3 linked regions of the Cricetulus griseus genome follow. The protein of the gene in region 2 purifies or fractionates together with the protein of the main gene of each other region. This does not show direct contact. Links are inferred from orthologs where the notes say so. Each region holds a gene or a part of one and is shown on either strand. Other genes may lie near its edges.

Region 1 (3,646 bases), on a different chromosome or scaffold from region 2:
CAGATTAAAGGGCTAAAGGTCTTATGACTGACAGGGACTTCAGAGAGGTTGCTTTCACCTCATCTCATATGCCATCATGATGTTATTAGCGCATGCAACCAATTTACAAAGGTTTTGACGCTTATAAGGCTGACTTCCAGAGTGATTGCTGCAATATGCTGCACTGTGTGACTTAGTTTAGTTTAGTTGTGTGATGTTTCTAAGTGGTTTTCAAACATAGCTGTGTATCTTCTCATCTGAAATGTTCATCGCCTCATTTGTGAAGCACATGTGGTTCTATGACAGACTTACAAACTATTCCTCCATTTCTCTTTCTTCTTTCCTCCATTTTCTTAATTTTTTAGTCAGTGCTTTGAGAGAGGCTGTTTTCAGGACAAGTGTCTTATATATGAACAGCTTATCCTATGCCCTGTAAGAGTCAGTTGTGTGTTTGCATTGCAGAAACTTTTTAGAAACGTCAGAGGTTTAGTTTTTTGAAGTTGGGTAATTATTAAAAGACAGTATTATTTCATTTTGCAAATGAGATTGTCCAAAGGTACCTGTTTTCCTCTGAATATCAATTTTGTTTTGTTTTGTTTTAGTGAGTACAGCTCCACAGCAAAAACCTGTAAGTATTTTACATGTATATTCAGCAAAAGAGACTATTCAGTGTTGAGCTTCACAAACTATGTAGCAAATGTTCTAATCTTTATTAATTTAAAAGTTGGCATGTTTATAAATGCTCTGTTCTCCCTCTCCCCAAAAAAGCTTGACTTTTTGTGTGGGACTAGTCAAAGCTATTATAAGACCAGTCTCTTCCTGTGCTCCCTGGGCTGCATTTGGCCAAGTTCAGTGAATTGCAAGGTTTTAGATTAAGTTTAAAAGAACCGTTTTAAAATTACTTCTGCTTGGCCTCCAAGTATCTTCTTTGACAAAACCCTTTTAATTTTTTTATAGTTAGCTGTGTAAGTGAGCATTATATATTCTGTGGATGTGCTGTCTTAAAAGAGAAGTCAAGTCTGGTGAATTGTTGCCAGAAAATCCAAATCACTTTTCTTTTTCTTTTTCTTTTTTTGGTTTTTTGAGACAGGGTTTCTCTATGGCTTTGGAGGCTGTCCTGGAACTCGCTCTTGTAGACCAGGCTGGTCTGGAACCCACAGAGATCCGCCTGCCTCTGCCTACTAAGTGCTGGGACTAAAGGCATGTGTCACTACTGCCCGTCGCAAATCACTTTCATAGTTTTACCCTGATCTAAGGATTTGGGCTTATGGGTCTTTGAAACTTTAAAGGTATTCATTGCCAGTATTTTCTAAGACATATGGCTGTAGCTGAAGGTAGGCAAAACTGTGGCTTTTCTTTTTTTGTCCTTTTATATTATATGTTTATTCCTGAAAGTTCATGTTATATTGCCTATCAGTCACAGCTTGGTATTAAGAGCCAAATGCAGACAGTGCTGTTTGCCACCTGTCTTGGTAGGTGTTTGTTTTTGTTGTTAAGAGTGAGAGTCATTCTGGATATAGGCAGCAGCAAAGAAAGGTTGCAAGAGATTCTTGTTCAAGGTGCTCGGTTCTAGACTTTCTAATGGAAGTTATGCCCCCTTAATGGCAAGACCAACAACATGAGCACAATCCTATCCTAAGGTAGAGTTTGTGATCATAACTGAGTATGATATGAAAAAGCAGAGTTGGAATTTGCCGTGTTGCCAGCACTTACACTCCTAAACAATGTTTTAAGAAGCAGCACCTAACCTATGGTACTTTCTTTACCATGTTGTAGATAGGAAAAATATCTAAAAACAAAAAGAAAAAGCTGAAAAAGAAACAGAAGAGGCAGGCTGAGTTGCTGGAGAAACGCCTGCAGGAGATCGAGGAATTGGAGCGAGAAGCTGAAAGGAAAACCATAGAGGAAAGTGTTACCACTGCCGAGCCATCCAATGAGCAAGATGATGGGTGTCACCTGGAGGGGAAACTAAAGGAAGCAGAATTCGAGGAGGCAGCTGAAGGAGAGATAGCAAAGGATAATGGTTAGTACAACTGGGAGCAGGGGGGAGGGCTAATGGGTGGGTGTCATGGAACTGCACGAAAGGCCCAGCCAGTGTGCCACACAGGTTGGCTTCATGCTGCTGCCTCAGATGTTAAGGACAACTTTCTCTAACTCTTGTTGGAGATTATGGGAAGCAGCCTATACGCCATCGGTAAAATGTATGCTAGGCATTATGTTGACATTTCAAAGTAGGTTTTCAAAAAGGGAAGAAGAAAGTCCAAGAAACATGTTTTTTTCCTGTTAATGATGCCCCTTATTTTATTTTGTGACTGACCTTTTGCCTAGCTTTAATACACCACAAACCTTATTCTAAAGCTGTAGAGGAAAGGGTTAGTGACTCAAAAAAATGGATCAGTGTTCCTGCAGAGGAACCAAGTCCGGTTCCCGCAGCACTTGTGTCCTGTTGCTCACAACTCCCTGTGACTCCAGCTCTAAGGCCATAGGCATGCGCGCGCGCGCGCGCGCGCGAGCACACACACACACACACACACACACACACACACACACACACACACACACACACAATTTACAGTGAAAATCTTAAAGATCAAGTACAATAACCATCTGAGGAAAGCAGTGGGGAGGGTTTGAAATGAAAATCCAGTTTTGCTTAGCATTTTACCCCCCAAACCAACTTGTTCCTGAAAATATAAGGCTAATTATTAAATAAGCAAAAAATAGGGTTTAGAAAGCCATTTTTGCCTTTTAAACCAATAGACATGTTCTGTGGTATATTAGAAGCATCTCTTAGTTGGGTATGATAGCAGATGCCTTTAATCCCAGCACTTAGAAGGCAGAGGCAGGTGGATCTCTTAAGCCTGGTCTACAAAGAGAATTCCAGATCAGCCAGAGCTACAGAGAGAAACCTGTCTGGAAAAACTAAAACCAGAAAAATACAAAGCAAAGTATGTCTTGTTGAAGAAGCTAACTAGTACTGCTTTGCAAGGAGAGTCATGACTCCTAATTTTAACCCTATGTTTGTTAAGGTGAAGCTGAAGACCAGGAAGAAAAAGAAGATGCAGAGAAGGAAAATGCTGAGAAGGATGAAGATGATGTTGAACAGGAACTTGAAAACCTAGACCCTACATGGATGGAGTCCCCTAAAGCCAATGGCCATATTGAAAATGGTCCATTTTTATTGGAACAGCAGCTGGAGGATGAAGATGATGATGAAGATGACTGTGCAAATCCTGAGGAATATAACCTAGATGAGCCAAATACAGAGAGTGATTATACGTATGGCAGCTCCTATGAACAGTTCAATGGTGAATTGCCAAATGGACAACACAAGAGTCCAGAGTTTTCCACATCATTGTTTTCTGGGCCCTTAGAACCTGTGGCCTGTGGTTCTGTGCTTTCAGAGGGATCACCACTTACTGAGCAAGAGGAAAGTAGCCCATCCCATGACAGAAGCAGGACAGTTTCAGCCTCTAGTACTGGAGATTTGCCAAAAAGTAAGTGTCCTTGTATCTCTCTCTCTGTTTTCACTGAGCAGGGTCATACCTTTGATAAACACTGTGAAAAGAGTTGGCTAAAGGGGAAGAGACACTTTAAATATGCACTAATCCTTTAATTTCAGTGCTTTTGTATTCAAGAACAAATGGAATGCTTTAGCTGCCAGGGT
Region 2 (3,646 bases):
AGAAACTAGAGAGAGGCTGGAGAGATGGCTCAGTGGTTAAGAGGGGTTCCACAACAGTTTGGTTCCTAGCACCCAGTCAGGCAGCTCACAACTTCTGTAATTCTAGCTCTAGAGGACCCAATGCCCTCTTGTGGCCTCCACAGGCACTACACTCATGTGTACACATATCCACACAGTCACAAATAAAAAGCAACCCCCTGCCTTTGAGACATGTCTCACCATGCAGCATGGCTGGCAGGGAACACACAAGGACCTGCCTACCTTGTGCTGGGATTAAAGTTATGTACCACTACACTTGGCCCAAAAATTAGATCTTCAAAGGAAAGAGGTTAAGAGCACTGCCTGTTCTTCTACAGGACTAGGGTTCAATTCCCAACATATACAGAGCAAACCACAAAAACAAACATAAAAAACATCAAATTTATTAAAGGAAAGAAATGGGAGCTAGCAACCTGGCTCAGCAGGCAAAGGCACCTGCCTCCAAGCCTGACAACCTGAGTTCAACCTCCAGTGTCTAGCTGGTAGAAGAGAATTAACCTCCATGGCATGCCCCATGGCATGAACACTCATAAAACATAGTCAACAAAGATGTCATCTAAAAATAAAAACAAATTAAAGGGGCTGGAGAGATGGCTCAGAGGTTAAGAGCACCGGTTGTTCTTCCAGAGGTTCTGAGTTCAATACCCAGCAACCACATGGTGGCTCACAACCATCCGTAATGAGATCTGGTGCCCTCTTTGGGTGTGCAGATAGACATGGAAGCAGAATAATGTTGTATACATAATAAATAAAATCTTAAAAAAAAAATAAAATAAAAAAACAAATCAAAGGTGGGAAGGGTGAGAACAGAAGGATGAGCAGCTGGACACAGACACCACCACCAGCTGCAAGTGTGACCCAGCCTGACAGCCATGAGACAAAACTCACGAGGGACAGAGACTGGAGGAGGGGGCAAAATTCAGCCATCTTGTGTACTCACCAAGATCACAAAGTCACTTTGAAGGTTCCCTTGGAGCCTCTATTGGATCTGCTGTCACATTCAGGCCCATGATGACCTCAAACTCCCAATCCCTGCCTCAACCTCTAGAATTGCAGGCCACCACCCCTGGCATGAGTTAACGCTGTACATAATACATAGTACAAGGGGTCGTCCTTCTTTCCGTTTCTGGTGCCGGGGATTGAACTCAGGACCTTGAGAGAGTTAGCTAGGTGAGCAGGCTACCACTGAGCCATACCCTCAGCCCTAGACAGGGCTACACTTTTCTCTTGCAGATCCAATTGCGCTGGGATTCCTTAGGGCGTGTTTCCCGACTCTGTTCTGCCCTGTTAGCCCTCTCTATCCATAGGCCAATGACCGTCACCTTGAAGGCTGGAACTCTAGATCCCTCTTCAGTCCTGGAGAACGCTCCAGAATTGTTTCCCTTCTCCTACCATGGGACCCAAGGACGAACTCAAGTTGCTAGGCAAACACTTTTATGATAAAAGCAGAGCTACCACGGTCATGTTGGTTTGCCCTAGATCACTGCTCAGACCCTCAACCTCCTACCCAGCTATGGTGTTTCACCATTGGATTTTCCTCTATGTGGGACATCTTTGCTTATTAACACCGAAAACAACTACTTGTTCTTCATCCTTCCTCCTGCTTGTAGTACTAGGGATTGAATGTAGTGCCTCCTACAGGCTAAATTGTTTTACTTTGTAATCCACTAGTGTCTCTAAATTAGATTTGCCTATTGTTTCTAACAGGAGGGTGACAACTTTTGACTTTCTGTAAAGTCATGGGCGTAGTGCATGTGCATTCTGCCCCCTCCCTTCTCTCTCAAGTAAAGACACACAGAACAAAACCAAAATCAAGGAAAGGGACCCAGGAGACAGGTGTGCAAAAGGACAGACCTTCAAAAGCAACCAAGTGTATGGTGGGGAACAGGCACTCAAAAGAGAACCCCCCATCCACACAGCTCACCGACCCAACAGGACAAGTCCCCTCAGTCTACATCAGGCCACATGGCTGAAGGCCTGACAGTGAAGGACACATTCCTGTGCCCCGGGGCTTACCGGTACAGGCTGGACAGCGCCCACCACGGGGGCAGCTGCCCCACCCTGAACAGCCTTTTTAGCAGCTGGTGTCTCCTGACTCTTGGGCTTCCTCTTCTCTCGTTTGCGGTCCCTCTCCACAAAGGTGCCCTTCATCTTGGCAATGATGTCCGAGTCCGTCTTGGCGTACTGGATGCGCTACCAATCAGAGCAGAAAGGTCAAGGCCAAGGAAATCAGAAGGAACTTCAAGAGTTCAAAATGAGACCTCACGAGGAGCTTGCTAAGAAAAACTAAACTGCTTGGCCACAGGTTCCTCATCTGTAAAATGGGCGTATTTTCCACTTGGCAGGACTGTGGTAGCAACTTAGCAGGTCTAAGTGCCTAGAAGCAGCAGTCCCCTGAATACAGTGAGCAGCTGTTGACTGTAAGCTAGACTAGGTGCTTACAATTCTGCTATGAAGAAGTCAGACATATGCTGGGACACATAAAAATAAAATACTTAATTAAAAAGAAAGAAGTTTTAAAAATATTTGAGACAGGATCTCACTATGTAGCTGGCTGGTCTGGAATTCCCTGTGTAGAACAGGCTGTCCTGGAGGCCCATCTGCCTCTGTCTCCCTAAAATTAAAAGCATGCACTACCATGCCCAGCAACAAATGATTTTATTTTTAAAGTCCCATGCTCAGAAGGGGACCTGGTGCATTGCAAAGTGAACTTTTCAGATCTAACACTTAGGAAAGGGATGGGAAGCAAGCACCACGAGCACATGGAGTGTGCAGCAAGAGAACAGCCAGGAAGCTAAGAGATGAGAAAAGCTGGGCCTGGGACTCCAGCTGCTGGAGACTGAGGCAGAGGGACAGAGAGGGAGAAGACAGGTCACAAGGGCAAAGGGGGACCCTTTGTGCTTTTCTAAGAAGCTGAGGCAGTGCTGTGATGACTGATGGGAGCTCTCAAAAGGCCCCGTGGTTTGCAGATAGGCCCGGGTGGGAGGAGGAGGAGCACGTGGGGAGCCAGGTAACAAAGACAACGTGAGAAGACACTCTGGAGGCATGGAGGAAGAACAGGGCTCAGGGAACCCTCTGCTCACTCTAGTTTGGGCCTGTTTTTGGATGAGTTTTAGACATGCTTGTAAGGATTCGGGCATTATGCTGGCTGCCCCTGTCCCTGCCAGAATTCACTCAGGCAGTACACTGGTCAGCCCAGTTCCATGATTGTTTAGTCAGCGAAGGACCCCTTTAAAAGAAAGACCCCCAGTCCATTTATGCTGTCTTTTCCAGCTCTCTTTGCCCACTCCTCTCTTTCTAGCTGTTCTGCTGGGACAGACAGGACTTTTCCTGTCTCCCTCTTCTCTTCTGACCTCTCTCTGTCTCTTTACCCAAGCCTGTCAGGGCGTGGTCAAGGTGGAGACAGGATGATGTGTTTTTAAGGGGCTGCAAGGCACATGGGGGCCCCTTTTCTGGCCTGCCTGTCTTGCTGCCCCTGGCACGCTCTGGCTTGCATTTGGCTGGTGTTTATCTGAATAAAGATATCTTAACCTTACAGACTACAGGTCATCTCGATATATTAGGCTCTGCCGGGCATGTTTGTCCCTCTGCCTTGGTCACCCTCACC
Region 3 (4,411 bases), on a different chromosome or scaffold from region 2:
CTAATCACCTTGGGTTCAGGAGCCCCACTTAGACTGATTTATTTCCTCTCTATATCTAAATACTTGAGATGCCTGGCCTGTCAGGCAGCCTGCCATTCAGTAAACAATACTGGCAATGTCTCTGCTAAGTGTCAGGCACTGAGCGACACTCTTAGACTCTTGAGAACTAGTAGAGAGAGTAGTACAATCTAGTAGAGGACCCAGGTGCTAAAAGGACTTTCTAAATAAATAATTAAAACAATAGTTACTAAAAGTGTTTTGGAGAATTCCAAAAACCAGTGAGAGGTCAAGAAAGGGGCTGCAGAAGAGGCTATACTTAAGATGAGGCTGAGGTTTGCACTGGAGGGTTTGGCCAGGGAGGCGAAAGGAATTGATGAAAGCTGTCCACATAAACATTTTGAGCCTCCACATGCCAGTATTCTGGGGGCATTGAAGGGCGAATATGGCTGAGAAGATGAGGTAAGGCTGTAGAAGAGGTTGGCTCATTAGAAACCTGTGGTCTCAGGACTGACACCTGTCCTTCATTTAGGTCTCATCAAAAATGTCACCACCCTTTGGGCTGGTGAGATAGCTCACTGGGGAGAGGAACTTATTGCCAAGTCTGACAACCTGACTTCAATCCCAGGATCAACATGATAGAAGGAGTAAACCATTTCTCCTTTGATCTCCACACATGTGCTGTGACACACACACACACACACACACACACACACACACACACACACACACACAAACAATTTTTTTTTCTTTTTCGAGACAGGGTTTCTCCGTGTAGCTTTGGAGCCTATCCTGGCACTCGCTCTGGAGACCAGGCTGGCCTCGAACTCACAGAGATCCTCCTGCCTCTGCTTCCCGAGTGCTGGGATTAAAGGTGTACACCACCAATGACCAGCTCTAACTTTCCATTCTTATTACTTATTTAGAGACATGTTTCTATGTCTTTCTACATAGCCCAGACTGTCCTGGAACTTACTATGTAGACCAGGCTGGCCTTGAACTCACAGAGATCCACTTACCTCTGCAGCTGAGTGCTGTGATAAAAGGCATACATGAGCATGCCCAGAAAATTTCCATTCTTTTAATATCTACACAAGACGTTGGGAATTAAATTCCTTCCAGTCTAGAAAAGAGACTGTGTTTAAGACGTGGTAGACGACGAAGCCAGTGACTTGTCTAAATTCACAGAATAAGAGTAGAGACAGAACCTGGGCAGCGTTAATTTCTTTACTCATTTGTGCTTTATTCACAGGGTCACCTGGCATTGTTTCTCAAAAAGAGGCCAAGGAACACAGGCTTCAGAATCACGCCCACAGATTCTCTAAGGCAGACCCTAGAAATATGTATTTTTATAAGCTCCTGAGGTAATTGTCCTGCACACGACCGTCTCATATACTGCTGTGCCCTGGGTGACAGCAGCACCACGTCAAAAGCAGCCTTGGCCAAATTCCTGGGTTTATGGTTCCCACAGCCTCATGGGAAATGTAGTTTCGACTGACCTTCCCGCCTCCGGCCTCTGGGTGAGCTCGCCGGAAGGAGCCGAGCCAATGCGGAAACAGCCGAGTGTTCCGAGGCGGGCCTTTTCCTGCTCGATTGCATGCTGGGAAAGGGCAGTTTCCGTTAGCTGCTGAAGGCTGAGGCGCGCCACCGGCCACCTCCCCACGTGAAGCAGTTGTCCGAGCATCGCCAAGCCGGGCAGCTGTCTAACCCGCGTCCGAGCGCCCCGGAAGCGGCGGGGGACCGGAAGTGGCCCGCGGAGGCTGCAGAGCTAGTCCGGGAGCCCGCTGTGAGGCGACTGGCAGCGCTGCGACGGCGCCATGTCCCTGATCTGCTCGAGTGAGTGCTGGCTGCGGCGGGAGGCGGGAGCGTGGCTGCGGCCGGGGCCCCGGAGCCCGCGGCCCTGCGTGCGGGGTGCATTTGCGCAGTGCCGCGCAATTCACGTAGCTGGGAAGAATGACTGTGGTTGTTACACTGAGCGGAGACGGGCCTGAACGGGGTGGGGGGGTGGGAAGGGGGAGTTGGTGCAGGGAAAAACAGCTCCTGGTGTGGGAAAACCGAGGACGTGTCCAGCATCCGCCTCCGATTGTGACCTGGTCAGCAGCGGTCCAGGGCCTCAGTTTCCCCATCTGCAGCAGCATCCATTGAAAGCGTTGCAGTGGGTATTGCTCGGGAACGTCGCTTAGGCATCGATGTGTCTGCGATTTGCAGGGATCACGCAGTGACTTGGAGGCAAGGCTGGAAGCCAGGTGTCTGGCTTCTAGCCTCGCGCAGTATGACTAATGAAAACAGCGACCATTTAGGAGACCTGTATTGATGTACGACGCACTTCCAAACGATGATCCCATTTTATGCTTACAAAAAAAAATTGTCTGAATGGAAATAAAGATCCGTGATTTAGAGAGGGCGTCAGAAATCTTAGGAAGCATGAGGTTTATCCAGGGGTGTGCGGCACAGCTGGGCGGTGGAGCTCGGTTCTTTGAGCCCGGATCCATGCTTTTTCCATACTGTATGCTGTCTTGTCATTGGGTGTTTTGTTAACGGCATTGCGGGTGTTTACCTTCTTGTTTACCACATCACTAGCTTCCCCTCCCTCTCCATTCTCTTCTCAGAACGTTGCCATTAATTCAAAGAGGGAAAGGAAGGAGGGAAATGACAAACAGAAAAGGGAATTCACATCACACATAAGAAATTTCAGTTTGCAAAGTATTTTCGAACGATTTGTTTCCTTTTAATCTTGAGAGAGCACGCTTACATGCCCTGGGCCATCCTTCCTTTTTGTAGGGGAGGGAAAGCTCACTCAAGTGTTCAGTGGTTGAGTATGTGAGTGAGATAAGCCAACAGAATAGCACAGGAAAGCCATGTTTCCTCCCATACTTCATTACTTATGCATGGGAATCCTGCAAAAATAGGTGATTCTAAGGGAAGCTTGTACAGACCCATGTGCCACAGAAGAGAATAGGAGCTTGAGGCCTCAGGTGGGAAGGCAAACAGAATTATGTGGTGAATAAGAGCTGTTCTGTTACGTGATAAGTCTCTCGGGCAATAAATAATCTCTCTCAGAAGAGTCTTGAGTGTGGAGGTTGCTTTCACTCGTCTGCTGAGGTGAACCAATTGTCCCTGTTTAGGGGACGTTAGAGAAACAAGAGGGCCTGAGAAGGTCAGAGAGACCTTGATTCTGAGCTTGCTTTTGAGTTCTTCCTTTTTGGTAGTTCAGCATTACCAGGCTCCATACTTTGGGATATTTTTTATTGAGCCCCAGGATGTACCATGTTCTGATGTTTATCAAGTGTCTGCTTAGTATCTGCATTGTCCTGGAGGTCAGTGACAGCTGTGGTGCCCATCTTCAAGGGTACACAGACTATTCTGTCAAGTGCCTAGAATAGAATCTTGCTTGGCACACAGTAGCAGACACTATAGAAAGGTTTTTTATTTATTTATTTTTTAATTTATCAGTGCTTGTCACATTGCTTAGAAATTTTTCTGCCTGTTCCATCTAGGGCTCCAGACGAATGGCAGGGGTTTGAGTTGTGTGTACTTATTTGTCATATGCCTAGTCAGTCATATTTGTTCAAAAATGAGATGGCAGGGCATACTGACCACTCTTTATGGGACTGACATATAGTTATTATTTACTGGCTTTTATTATCAGCAGACTAGAGAACCTAGTTAAGTAGTTGGCAAGTATTCTAGGGCCAAGTACCAGCTGGCTTGCTGTCACAGACCTTGCTTTCTGATAGCTGAGTATGAGGACAGGGTCTTGTGGGGGCCGATACAATCTAGCCCAGGCCTCCTTTTACCCTGTGTTCACTACCTGCCTTTCTCTATAGTCTCCAACGAAGTGCCAGAGCACCCATGTGTGTCCCCTGTCTCTAATCATGTGTACGAGCGGCGGCTCATTGAGAAGTACATTGCAGAGAATGGCACAGATCCTATCAACAACCAGCCTCTCTCAGAGGAGCAGCTCATCGACATCAAAGGTGCCCGCCCGACCGATAGCCTAAGTCCAGGGCCAGCTCAACTCAGCCTTCAAGAGTGGGAGGAGGAGCCAGTCTGGTGGAGAAGATGGTGGCTGTGAATGAATAAAGAAAGGAGGGGTGGGGGAGGGGTGAGCCCCCGGGGTTCTGGTTCTTCATACCTGCTTTGCTGCCTCTCTTGGCAGTTGCTCACCCAATTCGGCCCAAGCCTCCCTCTGCCACCAGCATCCCAGCCATTCTGAAAGCCTTGCAGGATGAGTGGGTGAGTTCTTTGAAGAGTATGCACCTCTGGGCCTGGGGATTAAAAAGGTGGGACTGCCCTCCTTTTCTTTTTAATTTTTTATTTTATGTGTATGGGTCTTTTGCTTACATGTATGTCTGTGTGTCACTTATGTGCCTGGTGCTTGGGAGGCAGGGGGAGGGTGTGTGATCCCTTGGAA

The links.
Region 1: the proteins of Snrpa (region 2) and Srpk2 purify together in Homo sapiens (affinity purification with mass spectrometry; 4 studies listed by BioGRID and IntAct, with this or other methods). This does not show direct contact. The link is inferred for Cricetulus griseus from reciprocal best matches to the Homo sapiens genes SNRPA and SRPK2.
Region 3: the proteins of Snrpa (region 2) and Prpf19 fractionate together in Homo sapiens (co-fractionation; 3 studies listed by BioGRID and IntAct, with this or other methods). This does not show direct contact. The link is inferred for Cricetulus griseus from reciprocal best matches to the Homo sapiens genes SNRPA and PRPF19.

What each region holds. Positions count from the first base shown.
Region 1 is NW_023276806.1:171,083,198-171,086,843, forward strand, and holds part of Srpk2 (SRSF protein kinase 2), read left to right. Parts: intron 1-581; coding exon 582-607; intron 608-1,755; coding exon 1,756-2,002; intron 2,003-3,008; coding exon 3,009-3,476; intron 3,477-3,646. UniProt on the Homo sapiens protein: Serine/arginine-rich protein-specific kinase which specifically phosphorylates its substrates at serine residues located in regions rich in arginine/serine dipeptides, known as RS domains and is involved in the phosphorylation of SR splicing factors and the regulation of splicing.
Region 2 is NC_048602.1:8,728,915-8,732,560, reverse strand, and holds part of Snrpa (U1 small nuclear ribonucleoprotein A), read right to left. Parts: intron 2,233-3,646; coding exon 2,056-2,232; intron 1-2,055. UniProt on the Homo sapiens protein: Component of the spliceosomal U1 snRNP, which is essential for recognition of the pre-mRNA 5' splice-site and the subsequent assembly of the spliceosome. U1 snRNP is the first snRNP to interact with pre-mRNA.
Region 3 is NC_048596.1:49,556,713-49,561,123, reverse strand, and holds the start of Prpf19 (pre-mRNA-processing factor 19), read left to right. Parts: upstream 1-1,610; 5' UTR 1,611-1,814; coding exon 1,815-1,833; intron 1,834-3,824; coding exon 3,825-3,974; intron 3,975-4,156; coding exon 4,157-4,233; intron 4,234-4,411. UniProt on the Homo sapiens protein: Ubiquitin-protein ligase which is a core component of several complexes mainly involved pre-mRNA splicing and DNA repair. Required for pre-mRNA splicing as component of the spliceosome.